3 linked regions of the Arabidopsis thaliana genome follow. The protein of the gene in region 1 purifies or fractionates together with the protein of each later gene. This does not show direct contact. Each region holds a gene or a part of one and is shown on either strand. Other genes may lie near its edges.

Region 1 (4,011 bases):
AGTTCACTGTCCTGTCTGATTGAAAATGTGGAACTTATAGAGAATCTGTGTTAAATTATAGAGCCATCATTGTTTTTGATGCAGCGAGCATGTGATGAGTGAGAAAGGATACTCTTCGTTACTATCGTTCACTGTAGCAGACATTAATACAACAATCTCTAAACTTATGGAATTAGGAGCTGAACTCGATGGCTCTATCAAATATGAAGTCCATGGCAAGGTAAAAACGCAACCACTTCCTGCAAATGCTTTAATCTCATTGTCTAACATTTCTTTTGATAAGAATTCAAATCTTTCTTTTTCTTGATAACCAGGTTGCTTCTGTGAGATGTCTTGATGGTCATGTGCTCGGACTCTATGAACCTTCATGAGTTTTCTATTCAGTTCGGATTATGTGGATTTGATTTTGTTTTTTTCGATCCGATTTTGGTTGAATAATGTTTCAAAATTTTGCTAATCGGATGTTTGGTAAGGACTTAGCTCTAAGACAAATGTAAATCTAATATATCCGGCGCAGAAAAGTCGTTAATTGATTGTTCAACTAATCGTCTAGACATTCGATCTATTAAAGACAGGGGAGATATGTTTTACAAATTTAAAAGCAAAGATGTTCAGAAACAAAAACAAAAATCAAGGTGCTGCTGCATTTCTTATTCTGAAATCTGAACAAAATACTCGTGTTAAACAATGTGGTTTGAAATCCCATTTCCAATTGCTCAAAAATAAGCAAGACAAATAGGGCTTTTACAAAAACAGAAAGGGATTTTTCAATGGTTCTTCCTGGCAAGCTTAGTCCATTCAGTATGGTACGCACCAGGACGATCGGTTCTCTCATAAGTGTGAGCTCCAAAGAGATCTCTCTGCGCCTGAACCAGATTCGCCGGCAATCTAGCACGTCTATAAGTATCGAAATACGCAAGACTAGCACACATTCCAGGCGTGCTAATCCCAGCAGAAACAGCCAAACCAACAACTCTTCTCCAAGCAGCTTGTCTCTGAACCATCTCTTTAGCAAACTCAGGATCAACCACAAGACTAGCCAAGTCCGGGTTCCTCTGGTAAGCTTTCTTGATCCTATCCAAGAAAACCGCTCTTATAATACAACCACCTTTCCAAATCCTAGCCAATTCACCAAAATTCAAGTTCCAACTCTTCTCTAAACTCTTAGCTCTAAGCAAATTCATCCCTTGAGCATAACTACAAATCTTGGAAGCATACAAAGCTTGCCTAACATCATCAACCAATCTCTTCTTATCGATTCCACTCGACGCAGAACCAATCTCTTCTTTCAATCCAGCTTCCCTCAACACTTTCGCTGCATTCTCCCTCTCATCTTTCAACCCACTCAAATACCTACAATCCAACGAAGCAGCAATCGTCGGAGCTGCAACAGACAGCTCCGCCGCTTGCTGCACCGTCCATTTCCCAGTACCTTTCATACCAGTCTTATCCAAAATCTTATCAACTAACTCTCCATCACCAAACTCATCCTTAACCCTAAATATATCAGAAGTTATCTCAACCAAGAAACTCTCAAGCTCACCTGAATTCCACTCAGTGAAAATCTCAGCAAGCTCCTCGTTGCTTAATCCACCAACGTTCTTCAACACATCATAAGCTTCAGAGATCAATTGCATATCTCCATACTCAATCCCATTATGAACCATCTTCACGAAATTTCCAGATCCACCTTCTCCGATGTAAGTAACACAAGGTCCATCTTCAACTTGAGCTGCGACTTTCTCCAAAATATCTTTGATGTTATCATAAGCTTGAAATGATCCACCAGGCATTAACGAAGGACCGTTACGAGCTCCTTCTTCGCCGCCGGAGACTCCCATACCTAAATAGAGCAATCCTTTTTGCTCAGCTTCGGAGATCCGTCGCTCTGTGTTCTGATACCATTCGTTTCCACCGTCGATGATGCAATCTCCTGGCTCCATGTATTCGGAGAAGGCGTCGATTGTTTGGTCAACGGGAGCTCCAGCTTTGACGAGGATGATGAGAGATCTAGGCCGTTGGATCGAGAGGACGAAATCGCGGGGAGAGTATTGGCCGGAGACTGGGAGGTTTCCTTCGACGGCGGCTCGATCTAGGGTTTCGTCGACTTTGGAAGTGGTTCGATTGTAGACTGAGATTGGGAAACCTTTCTCGGCGATGTTTAAGGCGAGGTTTTGGCCCATCACGGCGAGTCCGGCGAGACCGATTCGGGATAGTGCGGCGGACTCCATTGGAGATAGAGAGATGAGCTTAGGATTGGTTAGGTAGAGAGAGAAAAATGAGGTAGTGGGAGTGATGAGAGAGAGTGGGTGGAGATATTTATACTGTGAAAATGACGGACTCGTCGATGGAGCCAAGGGACAAACGAAAACGATGATCTCTATGTTTTTCAAAACGGTGTCGTCTCGTCTAGAACTCCATGTTAACAAACGTTGCCGTTTTTGTTTCAAATATGATTCTAATGTTTTTGTTAAATTAAAAATGTTTACAAATCACACTCTAACATAAAAATTTAATCATAGCTTAAGGATTTGCTTGTCGTTATATGCAAATGACTTACGAAAATTCATACAATAACATTCGTTTAATTTTTTTAATATCCAACTAGTGGGCTGTTTGATTTATTAATCTCTAATGATGTTTCATATCTAATATATATTTTGGTTGTAACAACATTTTTTAATACGATCAATATGGTAGTGTCCATGTCGAACTTGGACTCTCTACCTCTTCTTTTTAGTCTCTATAAAAGTTTTTCAATTATTTTACATCAACTTGATACATTAGCCTTTTGACGATGTTGAATGGTCGGACAACTTTCCATCTACGATCTCACCATTCTACTGGATAACCAAGTATCTTTCTTATATGATGATAGGAGACTAAGTGGATCAATTAAACAAGACAGAGTTTATCAATGAGATGGTGTTTATCCTTCATAACACTCGCACATGTAATTACCCTTGTGGCCTTGACAAGAACCACCCATAAAACCTTGTGTCTTACAGGAACTGTAACACATACTTTTCTTCTCCACACCGTTAGGATCTGGGCATCGTCTTCCCGTTGGATTCATACTTTTTGCATCTCTTAACTCTATAATTTTAATAAGAAAAAAAGTTAAGGGGTTCATTTACTAAACCAAGAAAATTAGAAACAATGATTTCTATGAACTATTGTCTATTTGATGTGTAATGTAATGATGAACAATAGAGAGCACATATATAGGCAAAGAACAAAGGAGAAGGAGATTTTGTTAGACGCCATTTTCTTTATTGAAGTTCTTTTTTGTTCCTTCAAACAAATAACACTATAACAGTGTGTGAATTTAGCCAAGAAGGAGGAGACTTTGAACCCATCTAAATAAATAGGCAATTAGGCATATACAGCTAAAAATAAATATGGCTATGTATATCTAAAAAAAAGTATGTGAATTTGACGAAGAAGGATGAGACTTTGACCATCCTGTGACGCTTTCTTTCTTGTAATCAACCATGTGTCACGAAGGAGAAGTTCTAAATCTTAGGTAACAAAAAGTGTGACAAAGTTAGGATAAAAAGTTGACAAGATGATGAGCAACTTACTCTTATCATTATCAATACACCACCAAACCAAACAAATATTTATATCAATTAACAACAAAAGACCAATGCCCATCAACAAATTACACATAATTTAGAAAAAATGGTGACAATAGAAAGAAATGGATAAATGGAGCCACAAACTTTCCTTGGTTATAAAGTTGGAGTCACTCATCAAGCTGCACCAACCTTGCCGAAGAGCGACTTTCGGATCTACACACATTTCAAGAAAAGATCCTTTAGAACAAAACTAAAAATACTTAGGACAAGACAAATGAGGTTTCAAGAGTTTTGAAACCAATAAGAAGGTATAAGCTTAGGAACATGGTACTACAAATTTAAGAGAGCAAATGGGGATTTTAATTTAACCTCTGGAAGTTTATTGCGGAAGGCAACCTCCAACCTCGCATCAAGCGTGTTTTCACACACG
Region 2 (5,401 bases), on another chromosome or scaffold:
GATCACCATTTTGAAGACTCCTAACACAGAGTGCATGACCACTGAACTGGTTATGAATGTCGAAAACTTTAGTCTTTGTTTTCAACTTTCAAACTGTCACTTGTCCGGCGAATGTGTATCAATGTAGGCATGAACAACAACTTTTTCTATGGTTTCAAGATGTTTTCTCTCTATATATATATCATTGGTCTCTAAGATATGTCGCTCTCTCCTTTCTTCAAAGAGTTTTACCAAATCTGAACCCTCATAGGCCACACCAATAGTTGTCTCTACTACCTATATATCATTAGTCTCTAAGATATGTCACTCTCTACCTTACTTCAAAGAGTTTTTATTCGCATTTTACTAATACAAGAATTAATGAAATATGATCATCTTATGGATACAACATCACTGCCGGTGTAAAAAGGCAATTACTTTTGTCCGGAAAGATCTAGTCCCTACCATATTTTCTCTTCTTCCTATCCCTTTTCTTCTCTTTTGACTTGTGTTTCTTACTAAGTTTCTTCTTATGCTCCTTTCTCTTTCTATGAGCCCGTTTGTAAACTTCCTCCTCGTCGGAAGAAGAAGAATCTGTCCTACGTCTCAATAAAGGTGATCGCTCTGGCTGAATCACTAGCTTCCGATCTCCTGTATCAGAAGTTCTTGACAATTCCCTCTCAGGAAGACAGGGTAGCGGTTCATCCATCATAGCACCAACAGAACCTCTGCCACGCTTGACCCTATCATAGACCAGAATCACAAGTTTTATCAGCAAAAGCCGATCCCAAATTCGATCATTATTGTAAAGGAAATAATCAGGCAGCATCTGAGTATAATGGAAATACCTTGATTGGAGAAAAGTCTTAACCTCGACATCTCCTAAGCCTTCATCATCATCATCCTCTGATTGCCATCTTTTGCTTCTGCTCCGGCTTGATGATGGTGATAAACTAGTAGTAGTAACATTCTCATCAACTGAAGTACATCTCTTTAAAAAATCCCTCCTATTGTTCTGCTCACTTTGACCATTGCTGCTCTCATCTCTTGATTTTCTTTTGAGCCTTTCACCAAACTCAATCTCTTTACTCCGAAGACTCCACATCTCATTGGTTTCCACAGCTTTGTTTGCTGAATGGAATAAAGAAGAAACAAATAAGAGATAAACTAAAAAAAAACTAGATTTTGTTGGATAGAAGCAAAGTCTGTCAACAAAAGATTATACCTTGCTGAACACCAAGAACTGTAGCAGTGAGAAATCTAGAGTTAGGTCGATGCCTTACATTAGGCTTCTCAAGATATGCTCTGACGCCATCTTTCTCAGCTTGTCTCCTCAATTCTGCTGCTTCTCTTAAAAGAATGGAAGCTATTCGATTTTCAGTTTCCAGATCCATCTACTCCAAGGTAAAACAAAAAAGTATAAGCCTAATCAAGTTATGTGATCAAATCAATCTGGGTAGATCAAACAAAGATGGAGTTGAACTTAATTCGACCACTACAGCTATCTAAATCATTGCTTCTTAATCACAGAACTTCCACTAAAGCTACGTTCTTTCGACAACGAAATCAACGAAGCAAAACAAACAAAATTACGTAAACACACAACAATCGAAAAGGGGATTTTTGGAGAACCCTATTGGTCGAGATTAATTACCACGAAATCGAATTGACTCAGATACAGATATCTAGTAGCAGCTTCACGAAATCGTGCGATTCCTCGGCGTTTTCCAGCAGGCGCAGAGCAAAATCATTGTCCGAGCCAGAGAGAGAAATAAATAAATTGAACTGAATTGGAAAATTCCCAAAAATTTCTAGTAAAACCGAACCGGAACAAACCGGATTAATTTCCTCTCAGACCAAACCGAAGAAGAACCCTAGTTTTATCAGTCTCACCAACTATCTCCCATGGTTCATTTGCTCTGCAAATTTGTCTGAAAAAATCTTTGTGCGAAGCAGGAAAAATGTCGTCGACCCATCAGTTAGTTTCTTCGATGATCTCTTCTTCCTCATCCACTTTCTTAGCCCCTTCAAATTTTAATCTCAGGTGCGTCGTTTTGTTTTCTTTTACTCTCTGTTTGCTACTGATATAATCTAGTGAGGATGAATATGAAATTGGATTCATTTCCAGAAATTAATTGTATGTTATGAATTTACTTGGAAATTTCAATCCTTTGGTTTTTAAGTCGATGTTGGATGGTGTTGTTTGGCCAGAGAACAGTGCATTTGCTTGTGATGATCATTGATTCATTTTTTTATTGGTTTGCTTTCCTTTTTGGCTTCAGAACTCGAAATGCTTGCTTACCCATGGCAAAACGGGTCAATACTTGCAAATGTGTTGCTACGCCGCAAGAGAAGATCGGTAATGTTCCTACTCCATGTTGTTTTTGCTGTAATGATTAGTAACATAGTTAATGATTTATCGTCTTTTAGCTGTTTATCTGTTTCTTACAATACATGATTTTGTTTTCTGTATGTAGAGTATAAGACCAAAGTGTCACGGAATTCAAACATGTCCAAACTTCAGGCTGGATACCTATTCCCGGAGGTTTGTTACCTGTTACTCTCTTGGTACTACTATTTAAGATTTCAAATACCTAAAGGAGTGGCATTTCAAGTTAACATTTTTGAAAGCTTCTAGTGATCTGAAATATTATAACTATCTGTGTAATAAGTTAATATATCCTCATTGATTCTGTATATAATGCTCCTCTCTCTTATTTTTTTGTGTGGATGCAAACAGATTGCAAGAAGAAGGTCTGCACACTTGTTGAAATATCCAGATGCACAAGTTATAAGTCTTGGAATAGGCGACACAACTGAGCCAATTCCTGAAGTGATCACTTCTGCTATGGCAAAGGTACCTCCTTATCTTAACTTAGCTTCATGTGCTCTTTGCCCTTCTCTGGGCTCTAGCATATTTTAAACTGATTTTACTAACACTGCCCTAACATGTATTATTTCGTTCATTTTGACAAAAATGTATAACATATTTTCTGTTTTGGCGTATTTGGATTATTAAACGAGAACTTCTCTGTAATCTAACAATGAAAATTATTCTGGTAGCATAGTTTTTTTGTTTGCTATACTATTCACACAGGCATGTAATCTCTAGAGATTAATCATGTTTTTTTTCTCTGACAGAAAGCTCATGAGTTGTCAACAATAGAGGGATATAGTGGTTATGGTGCTGAACAAGGTGCAAAGGTCAGTGCACCCTTCATTTCCACCTTATTGCGTTGTTATCATTTCTTTATTATCTGCCTTTGCACGTCACTTCAATTTTATTATGGATAGTCTTGAACTGCTGCTAAATTCAAGAGAAGATGGATTTAAACCTGTTTCTTACATGTAAAATCTTAAAGCTTAATCTGTTAAGTTTTTATCCAAACTAACCTTGATTTCACATATGTGAAAAGCCACTGAGAGCTGCTATTGCGAAAACATTCTACGGTGGCCTTGGCATAGGGGATGATGACGTTTTTGTTTCTGATGGAGCTAAATGTGATATCTCACGTCTCCAGGTTTGTTTTATTGCTGACTATTCATCTGTAATTGATACAAGATTAAGAAATATGAACAGCTGTTTCTTGATTCCACTTCTTGCAGGTTATGTTTGGTTCCAATGTTACAATTGCTGTTCAGGATCCTTCATATCCGGTAATTGGGCATATAGAAACCAAATTGCAGTTGTAGTCTTCTCTACTTTTGCTCCATTTTAACGTGGAACTATGCTGTCTCGTTTTTTTTGGATTATACAGGCTTATGTGGACTCCAGTGTTATTATGGGTCAGACTGGGCAATTTAACACTGATGTGCAAAAGTATGGAAACATCGAGTACATGAGATGCACTCCAGAGAATGGCTTCTTTCCCGACTTGTCCACCGTTGGCAGGACAGATATAATTTTCTTCTGTTCCCCAAATAACCCTACGGGTGCTGCTGCCACGAGAGAGCAACTAACGCAGTTAGTTGAGTTTGCAAAGAAGAACGGTTCTATAATAGTGTATGATTCCGCCTATGCAATGTACATGTCTGATGATAACCCACGATCCATCTTCGAAATCCCTGGAGCAGAGGAGGTAATAGACTGATTGATTATAACATTAAAAGGTCCATTTTTCAACATCTTTCTTCATGTGTACAACCGCTTACAGGTCGCTATGGAGACAGCTTCGTTCAGCAAATATGCTGGTTTCACTGGAGTTCGACTTGGTTGGACTGTCATCCCGAAAAAGCTACTCTATTCAGACGGTTTCCCTGTTGCCAAAGACTTCAATCGGATTATCTGCACTTGTTTCAATGGTGCATCTAATATCTCTCAAGCTGGTGCTCTTGCTTGCCTTACACCCGAAGGACTTGAGGTTAGCTTAGCTAAAGAGAGATCTCAAACCAGTTCCCACTAGTTCAGATATGCAAAATGATTTATTTTGTTGTCTTTTGAATCATTGCAGGCAATGCATAAGGTGATTGGATTCTATAAAGAAAACACAAACATAATCATTGACACATTCACATCTCTCGGGTATGATGTATATGGAGGAAAGAATGCGCCTTACGTATGGGTTCACTTCCCGAACCAAAGCTCATGGGATGTGTTTGCTGAGATTCTGGAGAAGACTCATGTGGTTACAACTCCAGGAAGTGGGTTTGGACCAGGGGGTGAAGGGTTCGTTCGTGTCAGTGCCTTTGGTCACAGAGAGAACATCTTAGAGGCATGTCGAAGATTCAAGCAGCTTTACAAATGAAGAACCTTGTTTGTAATCGTTCCTCATCATCATCACCCTCTTTAATGACATGATTTGAGTTAAAATAATGTCGTTTCCATTGTTTTCTGGAATTTGTAGAAGACACTTTTGACACCAGTGTTTCAAGCAATTTGGCAAAGTATTTTAACAACGAAATCAAAGTGCAAATAAGTGAACTAGTGTGGAAAATAAAATATTTAAATTGGACTGAGGAAGAACGTCAAAAAAATATAAAATTGGATTGGTTAAATAAATCTAAAATTGGACCGGGATGGGTGTTTTCGTAATTTAGGCTTGTTGAGCCACCGTGTGGGCAAAAATATCCAAAAACACAACACAAGTGTTGTCTTCTCGCGTCTCTCATCAACGAGAACCAGTTTTTTTGTTGATCCTATCAACAATGACGAAAATAGAGCTTCGAGCTTTGGGGAACACAGGGCTTAAGGTTAGCGCCGTTGGTTTTGGTGCCTCTCCGCTCGGAAGTGTCTTCGGTCCAGTCGCCGAAGATGATGCCGTCGCCACCGTGCGCGAGGCTTTCCGTCTCGGTATCAACTTCTTCGACACCTCCCCGTAAGCACTTCTTCTTCTTTTATATTTTCTAAAGATTACTGATTCTTCAATACTAATTGCTGATTCTCTGAATGTTGAGACTAATTTAATCGTTAAAGTCAAAATTT
Region 3 (7,745 bases), on another chromosome or scaffold:
CCCTTTATAATCTTTCTCATCAGCCATGTAAAAATTTTACAATATTTGCATAAGTTAATCTTGTTTTCTTTTCTCATCGTATGACTAATTAGCTCGGATGTTGATAAAGGCGGCGAAACAGTTTTCCCTGAAGCCAAAGGAATTAAAAGTAAAAAAGGAGTCTCTGTTAGACCGAAGAAGGGAGACGCTTTACTCTTTTGGAGCATGAGACCCGACGGGTCTCGAGACCCTTCGAGTAAGCATGGTAAGAGGCATTGCCTTTCTCTAAACTTGTTTTAAATCGTAATAAACCCTTAATTATAACTTGTTTGAGATCATGAGATGTAAAACAAATTTCTCAAAAATTTGTCTGTTTGATTTAGGTGGGAGTCCAGTAATCAAAGGAACCAAGTGGGCATCAACCAAATGGTTCCGCTCTCATAAGTTCATCAACTCTACACAACATTCCAAGAGGTAATCTCTGACCATCACTTCGAATGTGATAATCAATCCTTTGGATCATCTCAGATTTTTTTTAATGTTTTTGTACAACCTTCACAAGATAATTTTCATCCTCTAGCTCTTTAGATTACTTTGTGTATTTGTGTTTATTTTCTAATGGTAGAGTATACTTCTATCAATGCAGCATTGACAATGCTTATGAACAACAACAACAAAAAAAGAGCTCGCATGTTTATTTGAAAGAAAAAAAATGACTCGACAGTGATAATGTTTCCAATTGACTAGCACGAAGCAAGAGACGAAGAAGAACAAAAGCAAAAGTTTAAATTAAAGTCATTCTCGTCCTCCTCCCTGCAAACATTTTTATTGCAACAAACCTTGGGATATATAACTCAAGTCTCTGGTGTTACCAGATTTATTGTTTGATCAAGTTCCTGATAACGTATTGCAAAATCCCTCCGTGATCGAAATAAGCCAACTCCACCTGTCGATTCCAAATTCCTCTTACTTATCTCATCTCATTTTGTTTTAGAGCTAAAAAAAAAACTCAAAGACGAAAAGACGAAAATATATCATCTAGAGATAACTTACCTCTGTGTCAAATCGGAGTGTACATGTGAAAGATTTGCCATTGTTTGTGACGACTGTTACATCTTGTCCTGGTTTGATCTCACTAACATTGTTTGGGAGCTCAATGGTGTAAAGCTCCTGACCCGTTAGGCCAAGGGTCTCAGCATCTTCTCCCGCCTTGAAGCACAAAGGTATGATTCCCATTCCCACCAAATTGCTTCGGTGAATTCGCTCGAAGCTCTTTGAAATCACAGCTTTCACACCCTGTTGTCACAATTTTTTAAAGAAACCGCATAAAATAAGTGTAAGAACGTGTTTGTTAAATACAGAAAATGTACCAGAAGCATTGGACCCTTGGCAGCCCAATCACGAGAACTTCCACTACCGTATTCAGCACCAGCCAAAATGATTGTGTCGCGTCCCTCGTTCCTATATTTCTGGTACAGCACGAGGAGAGAATAATCTGATTAAAACAAAGCTATGAACTGCTATTCTAATTCCAACTGACCAAATCAGAGAATCAAACAACAAAATTTCCACCCCCAAGACAATCTGCTGAGACATTATTATTACCTCAGCCTTCACTAACTGTTCTATAAACCAACTCACAACAGCTCTAATCTACTACATTCAGTCCTAGGCTAGATACAGTAGACCTATAGCTAAGAGTAGAGCTGTAGTGCTTATTCAAAGCTTATCGTAATCCTACCCCAACCTCATGACCAAAGAGCTTGAATTTGATGTTTTCAAAAGGATAAAAAAAAAAGTGAGATTATACCATGGCAGCATCGAAAACAGAAAGCTTCTCTCCAGTGGGAATGTGAACTGTTTTGGGACCAACTTCTCCTTTCAAGTGTTTGTTGACAATACGGATATTTGCAAAAGTGCCTCTCGCCATAATCTCATCATTACCACGGCGACTCCCGTATGAGTTGAAGTCTCTTCTATCCACACCTCGTTCCATCAAGTACTTAGCCGCAGGACTGTCCTTGTGGATGCTACCAGCTGGTGAGATGTGATCAGTGGTAATACTGTCTCCAAAATTGAGTAAACAGTATGCGTCTTTCACACCATGTGGACCGGGTGGAGACATGGTCATGCCCTTGAAATAAGGCGGCTCGTGAATGTAAGTTGATTTCGGGTCCCACTCATAGAGAGTACCTGACGCCACAGATAACTGATTCCACATGGAATTTCCTTTGGTGATTGCTTCATATGTAGCTTTGAACATATCAGGAAGGACACTAGATTGAACAACCTGAAAAATCGAAACAGAGAATTTGGCATCCCCTCCACTTATAATATCTCATTGTTTACGTATTACACAAGTAGCCCATATATATTTACCTCAGCAACTTCTTTGTTAGAGGGCCAAATGTCCCTGAAAAATATCTGTTTTCCATCTTTCCCAGTTCCAATGGGCTGTGTCTCAAAATCAATGTCAACCTACAAGAATATTCATGTGAATGATTCTGTGCTTCATATAACAAGAATGCTTGAATGTTGTGAAATGGCTTTAGAGTTAGCATTAACATACAGTTCCAGCCAGAGCATAGGCTACAACAAGCGGTGGGGAAGCTAGATAGTTAGCTCTTGTTAACGGGTGAACACGTCCCTCAAAATTTCTGTTCCCAGACAACACAGCGGATGCCACCAAGTCTTGTACATATATGAGAAATCTTTTAGTTTGACCTTCGAAAATTCAAGTGAAGAAGCATTACTTCATTAACTACTTAAGGAATTACCATTATCAACTATTGCTGAAGCCACAGCTTCATGGATATCCCCCGAGTTTCCAATGCATGTGGTGCACCCATAACCAACGATACTGAAGCCGAGCTGATTCAAGTACTTCTGCAAGCCACTGCAAGACTTGAAAACTCAGGACCACACAATACAAAGGATAAGGAAATAAATAACAAAACATTCAACGGTGTATCTGCAGCACCTCTTTGCCAAGTACTTTGTTACAACTCCAGAGCCTGGAGCAAGACTAGTTTTGATCCATGGCTTAACCTAATAATTGAGAAATTTCAAACACTTCTATTATTTCCATTGCACATAAAGATATTAAATCACTATCACACAAGTAGTCAAACCTCCAGTCCTAGGTCGCAGGCCTTTTTTGCAACTAAGGCAGCGCCAAGCATTACACTAGGGTTTGAAGTATTTGTGCAACTGGTGATTGCTGCTATAACAACATCTCCATGTCTAAGCTGTGCTGTGGTCCCGTTAAAATTGAACTCTACAGCCTTACTCTGTGCTTCTTTAGGTACAGCGAAACCCTGGAAAATCATGGATAAGTAGTATCACTAACCACTATTTTTGAAAAAATGGAAGTAGGTTATAAATTCAGAAGTGTTGCAGAACGTACAAGTTAGTTTATTGGACCCGCTTAAAGACTCGAATACGTACCATTCTTTCAAAATTACAGTAACAATAGCTAGAGGTGTCATAATTTCCTACAAATTAAGCTCTCGGGACTGCAAGCATTCACATCTTCTCAACAGAAAGGAGAGTACTAACCTTGAATCCTACTCTATTGTCCAAGCAAGAATGCCAGTCCGCTTTCATTTCCTTCAAAGGAACACGATCATGAGGCCTGTATTGTGCACAGAGAATAGACATTGTAAGTAGAATGGATCCTAGATAATTTTCTGTCGAATCATTCACTAATAGTACCTCTTGGGACCAGAAACACAAGGTTCCACATCCTCGAGATTCAATTCCAGACATGAGGAATAAACTGTCTTACTCTCCGGCTGAGATGTGCAACAAGTTCCAAGTGAAGCATATGTTATGCAAATATGATATATGACAATAGGCATAAGAAATGAAGTATTAAGGATGCCCAAGGTTTACCTCACTGTAATCCACAAACATCTTGTTTGCTCGTAAATACGCCTCTATCATGGAGACCTGCAATCCAATTCACAAATCAATACCATTATGAAAGTCTTTAACACACTAAATAATGAAGATTTTCCCAAATGTGACATTTTGTGCATTTTCTTACAGTGTCATCGCTCCTGCCTGTCAACCTTAGATACTGCAAAGTGACATGATCGACTGGGAAGAATCCCATGGTCGCACCGTACTCAGGAGACATATTGGCAATTGTAGCACGGTCAGCTAAAGACAATTCTCTCATCCCTTCCCCTGTGTATGAAAAAGCAGTCGATGCATATGTGAGCTAGCCTAACTCGGTAAGGTACTATGTAAGTAAATAAGAGACATATATGAAATATGATATCAAATCTTTTATCAACGTACCGTGGAATTCAACAAACTTTCCAACTACTCCATGTTTCCTCAACATCTGAGTCACTGTTAAGACCAAATCAGTAGCTGTCATTCCATCTCTTAACTTTCCCGTTAGCTTGAAACCCACAACACCGGGTAGGACCATGCTCATTGGCTGCATATAAAGAGATGGAAAGTCTATTAGAATTATTGAAAGGATGTAGTTTAGAACCAAAGTTTCAGAAAGAGGTTAGACAGTTAGCTATGAGTTCTCGACCGAAAGAGCATCTGATTTACCTGACCAAGCATGGTAGCTTCCGCTTCTATACCGCCAACTCCCCATCCAGCAACACCCAGTCCATCAATCATAGTGGTGTGAGAGTCTGTGCCAACAACACTGTCTGGGTAAAGAAGTCCATTTGTGTTGAAAACAACTCTGGCAAGGTATTCTAGGTTGACCTGTCAATTGCAAAATTATAGAATTTAGCATAAAAATACTTTAAGTTTCCAAGCAATACCGTTGTCCCTGAATCCTCTACTTACTTGATGAACTATTCCAGATCCAGGAGGTACGACAAGCATGTTGTGAAAGGCGTTGGATCCCCACTTAAGAAAAGCAAATCTTTCCTTGTTACGCTGGAACTCAAGCTCCATGTTTGCCTGCACTGCGTTCTCTGATCTCGCCACATCCACCTGAACGGAGTGATCAATGACAAGATCTACAGGGACCTGCAATTATCAAGGCCTTGTATCAAACCTTATAGCATACCAAAAGAACACAAATCATTAACCAATCTCAGTAAAAAGCGAGGAAACTAACCAGCGGATTAATTTTATTAGAATCACCACCGAGATTATTCATGGCATCTCTCATGCAAGCAAGATCAACAACAGCAGGAACACCAGTAAAGTCCTGAAAAACAAATAGAAAAAATGATATCACATTCTAGCATTTTCAGGAAATCAGAAACATCATTATGTCATCAAGAATGTGTATAGCAACCAATCATTGTCTACCTGAAGAAGAACCCGAGCAGGCTTGAACGGAATCTCAACCTGCTTGGGAGAAGTATTCTCCCAATCAAGAATCTTCTCAACATCTTTGCTCTTAACTTGGAACTCATCACAGTTACGTATGGCCGATTCAAGAAGTATCCTAATGGAATAAGGTAGTTTATCTGCATCCACCACAACATTTCTCTCATAAAACTCTCACCAACGAGATCATAACAACGTCTTCTAACAAAATATTATAATATCTATCAGAGATAAAAGGAAACTCACCGATCCTGGGATCGTTCAAAGCAGGTAAGCTGTAGTAGTTACCGAATTCACCACCATCAGGCTTCTCTAACGCCTTCAATATGCTTCGGAAAGGATTCTCGGAAGCTGAAAACACATCAGAAACAGAGATCCACACAGCAAATCAAAATACAGAACCAGATTTCAAAAAAACGAAAAATAGCTGGAAAATCAGCATCGGCGAGAAGAAGAAATAAGAAACATGAATCATTTTGGATCGTAAACAGATAAATCGATACCCATGGATGATAGATACAAGTCGAGTGAAGAAGCAAAGTAGAGAGATCTGTTTTCAGAAGAGAGAAAGTTTATAAGCGGAGTTGGTGAGGCTACACGAGCCTGAGCCGATTCAGATTTTTTTTATATGTAAGAAGGAAATAAATCTGACAGATCCGTGGTGGGCTCTTTTCGTCAGAACTGATGGCTGTTTGATTTTTATTTTTATTTTATATTCTATTTTCTTAATTATCCAACTTTTTTTTTTTGTGAATATCCATTCTTTGCTTTTTTTTGTATCAAGTGAATTATATCTGTTCAATCATGATTTTATTTTCACAAACTTATAATCCACCAATCTGATATGTGCCTCTTCTCTATAGTATCTAGTTTTATGTAATCCAATTTTCTTCAAGGTTTCTCAATTTCACATGGCATTGATTGATTAAAAAAACCTTAATTTCTGACAAACATATACAATCAATGATCGTCGTTACAACACACCAAAAAAAAATACACACAATGACACAAACATATACAAGACACCAAAAATATTCAATGATCGTCGTTTATTTCACCACCACCTGGTGACAAAACCAAAAAATATCGCCACCAACCTGCATGCAACGATTTAAAAAAAAAAAAAATATATATATATATATATATATATAAAAAACATTTTTTTATTTTGGAAATGGGTCGCTCCGTTCGAAATTTATGTTCTGATTAATTTGGGCCTAGCCCAGTTTAACCCATCTTTGTACCCAGTTCGGTCTAGCCCAGTTTGGTTAGAGATTAAACAATGTCGTTTAGCTGAATGGTGTGTCCAGATGGAAAGCTGCTGAGATGATTAATTATTCTACCCCTCCTTGTTTAGTTTTTCAGGCCATGATTAAAATGTATAATTAAATTTACTCTTAGGAACACTTCAAGTCTCTTAAATTTTATAGTCTGTATTTAAATATTGTCCATCAATATATTACTATCCACCTAAAAATCTACTAACTATTAACCTGAACGTGGTCAGTGTATATATCTGCTTTTAAGAAACCTCACTAGTTTCAGTCCCTTGAATCTGAAGCACCTTTTTATATTTTTAAAAAAGTTAAGAAGATGTACGTATATAGATTACGAATTACATCGTCTTTGTTGATAAATATCGAGAACTATATATGTTTAACGAAATCGTTTTAGATTTGGCGTGGCTCATATTTTTTTTTTATGTAAGGACAATTACATACTATTGTTATCTCTTTCATTTATCGTCTCTTTTTAGTTTGTTTGTTTTTGATAAAGAACTCTCTTTTTTAGTTTGTTTGATCGTATATAAGTTTGTTTATACGATCTTTTAAGCTAATATCAATAAGAAAGAAGTTATAAAAAAAAAAAATTGTTTATTTTAATATGGACGAAAGCTTATAAAGTATCTTATATTTATGGAGTTGATTTGATGATGCTTCCATACAATTACAAATAAATTAAGGAGCAGATGCAAGTGGTGGCCGGGTTAAATTATCAATCACGCCAACACAAAGACGCACCACCGGTAAAAATGTGACTTTGGTCAGCATGTAGATAACCTACCAATCATAATTATATCTTCTTTGTCTATTTGGCTTTTTCTTTTCCTCTCTCTTTATATTATTATACATCCTTATAGGTAAAACATTCTGTTACTTTCACTTACCCATTGTTAATATTTCCCTTAGAAAACACTTAATTCTTTCTCACAAGATGCAAATACGTACTCATAAAATATTATTTAATTTGTATCATGTTCAATAATATCCTCTCTCAAATATAGAATTGTTTGTAAAATGATTAGAGGAGAGTGGTGTGGAGACCAAATTTTAGTCCAAGTACCAGTAATACGAATTTTTCTTTCAAGAGAAAAACTAGTAAAACACGATCGGCCAAGTTCATTACAGTACATAGAGAAACTCACTCTCAGCAGTGAAACTAAACAATACAAG

The links. The genes of interacting proteins can lie anywhere in the genome.
Region 2: the proteins of AT1G64190 (region 1) and AGD2 fractionate together in Arabidopsis thaliana (co-fractionation; one large-scale study listed by BioGRID). This does not show direct contact.
Region 3: the proteins of AT1G64190 (region 1) and ACO1 fractionate together in Arabidopsis thaliana (co-fractionation; one large-scale study listed by BioGRID). This does not show direct contact.

The regions. Positions count from the first base shown.
Region 1 is NC_003070.9:23,824,782-23,828,792, forward strand, and holds AT1G64190 (6-phosphogluconate dehydrogenase family protein), read right to left. Parts: upstream 2,356-4,011; 5' UTR 2,232-2,355; coding exon 768-2,231; 3' UTR 547-767; downstream 1-546. Other genes in the region: AT1G64185 (Lactoylglutathione lyase / glyoxalase I family protein), read left to right, coding at 85-220, 315-371; AT1G64195 (Defensin-like (DEFL) family protein), read right to left, coding at 2,930-3,089, 3,209-3,267; VHA-E3 (vacuolar H+-ATPase subunit E), read right to left, coding at 3,912-4,011. UniProt on the Arabidopsis thaliana protein: Catalyzes the oxidative decarboxylation of 6-phosphogluconate to ribulose 5-phosphate and CO(2), with concomitant reduction of NADP to NADPH.
Region 2 is NC_003075.7:16,171,170-16,176,570, reverse strand, and holds AGD2 (Pyridoxal phosphate (PLP)-dependent transferases superfamily protein), read left to right. Parts: upstream 1-1,847; 5' UTR 1,848-1,940; coding exon 1,941-2,023; intron 2,024-2,261; coding exon 2,262-2,338; intron 2,339-2,456; coding exon 2,457-2,524; intron 2,525-2,719; coding exon 2,720-2,836; intron 2,837-3,120; coding exon 3,121-3,183; intron 3,184-3,395; coding exon 3,396-3,500; intron 3,501-3,585; coding exon 3,586-3,636; intron 3,637-3,737; coding exon 3,738-4,058; intron 4,059-4,133; coding exon 4,134-4,340; intron 4,341-4,430; coding exon 4,431-4,724; 3' UTR 4,725-4,890; downstream 4,891-5,401. Other genes in the region: AT4G33700 (CBS domain protein (DUF21)), read left to right, coding at 1-24; AT4G33690 (G patch domain protein), read right to left, coding at 434-722, 828-1,110, 1,205-1,373; AT4G33670 (NAD(P)-linked oxidoreductase superfamily protein), read left to right, coding at 5,125-5,294. UniProt on the Arabidopsis thaliana protein: Required for lysine biosynthesis. Catalyzes the direct conversion of tetrahydrodipicolinate to LL-diaminopimelate, a reaction that requires three enzymes in E.coli. Not active with meso-diaminopimelate, lysine or ornithine as substrates.
Region 3 is NC_003075.7:16,972,151-16,979,895, forward strand, and holds ACO1 (aconitase 1), read right to left. Parts: upstream 6,012-7,745; 5' UTR 5,800-6,011; coding exon 5,796-5,799; exon of another isoform or gene 5,644-5,795; coding exon 5,539-5,643; intron 5,433-5,538; coding exon 5,272-5,432; intron 5,168-5,271; coding exon 5,075-5,167; intron 4,984-5,074; coding exon 4,798-4,983; intron 4,714-4,797; coding exon 4,552-4,713; intron 4,430-4,551; coding exon 4,285-4,429; intron 4,171-4,284; coding exon 4,028-4,170; intron 3,931-4,027; coding exon 3,874-3,930; intron 3,774-3,873; coding exon 3,694-3,773; intron 3,614-3,693; coding exon 3,538-3,613; intron 3,297-3,537; coding exon 3,111-3,296; intron 3,028-3,110; coding exon 2,960-3,027; intron 2,876-2,959; coding exon 2,757-2,875; intron 2,671-2,756; coding exon 2,549-2,670; intron 2,458-2,548; coding exon 2,359-2,457; intron 2,270-2,358; coding exon 1,790-2,269; intron 1,449-1,789; coding exon 1,350-1,448; intron 1,276-1,349; coding exon 1,033-1,275; intron 926-1,032; and 3 more. Other genes in the region: AT4G35820 (2-oxoglutarate (2OG) and Fe(II)-dependent oxygenase superfamily protein), read left to right, coding at 93-279. UniProt on the Arabidopsis thaliana protein: Catalyzes the isomerization of citrate to isocitrate via cis-aconitate. Contributes to oxidative stress tolerance. May have a role in respiration.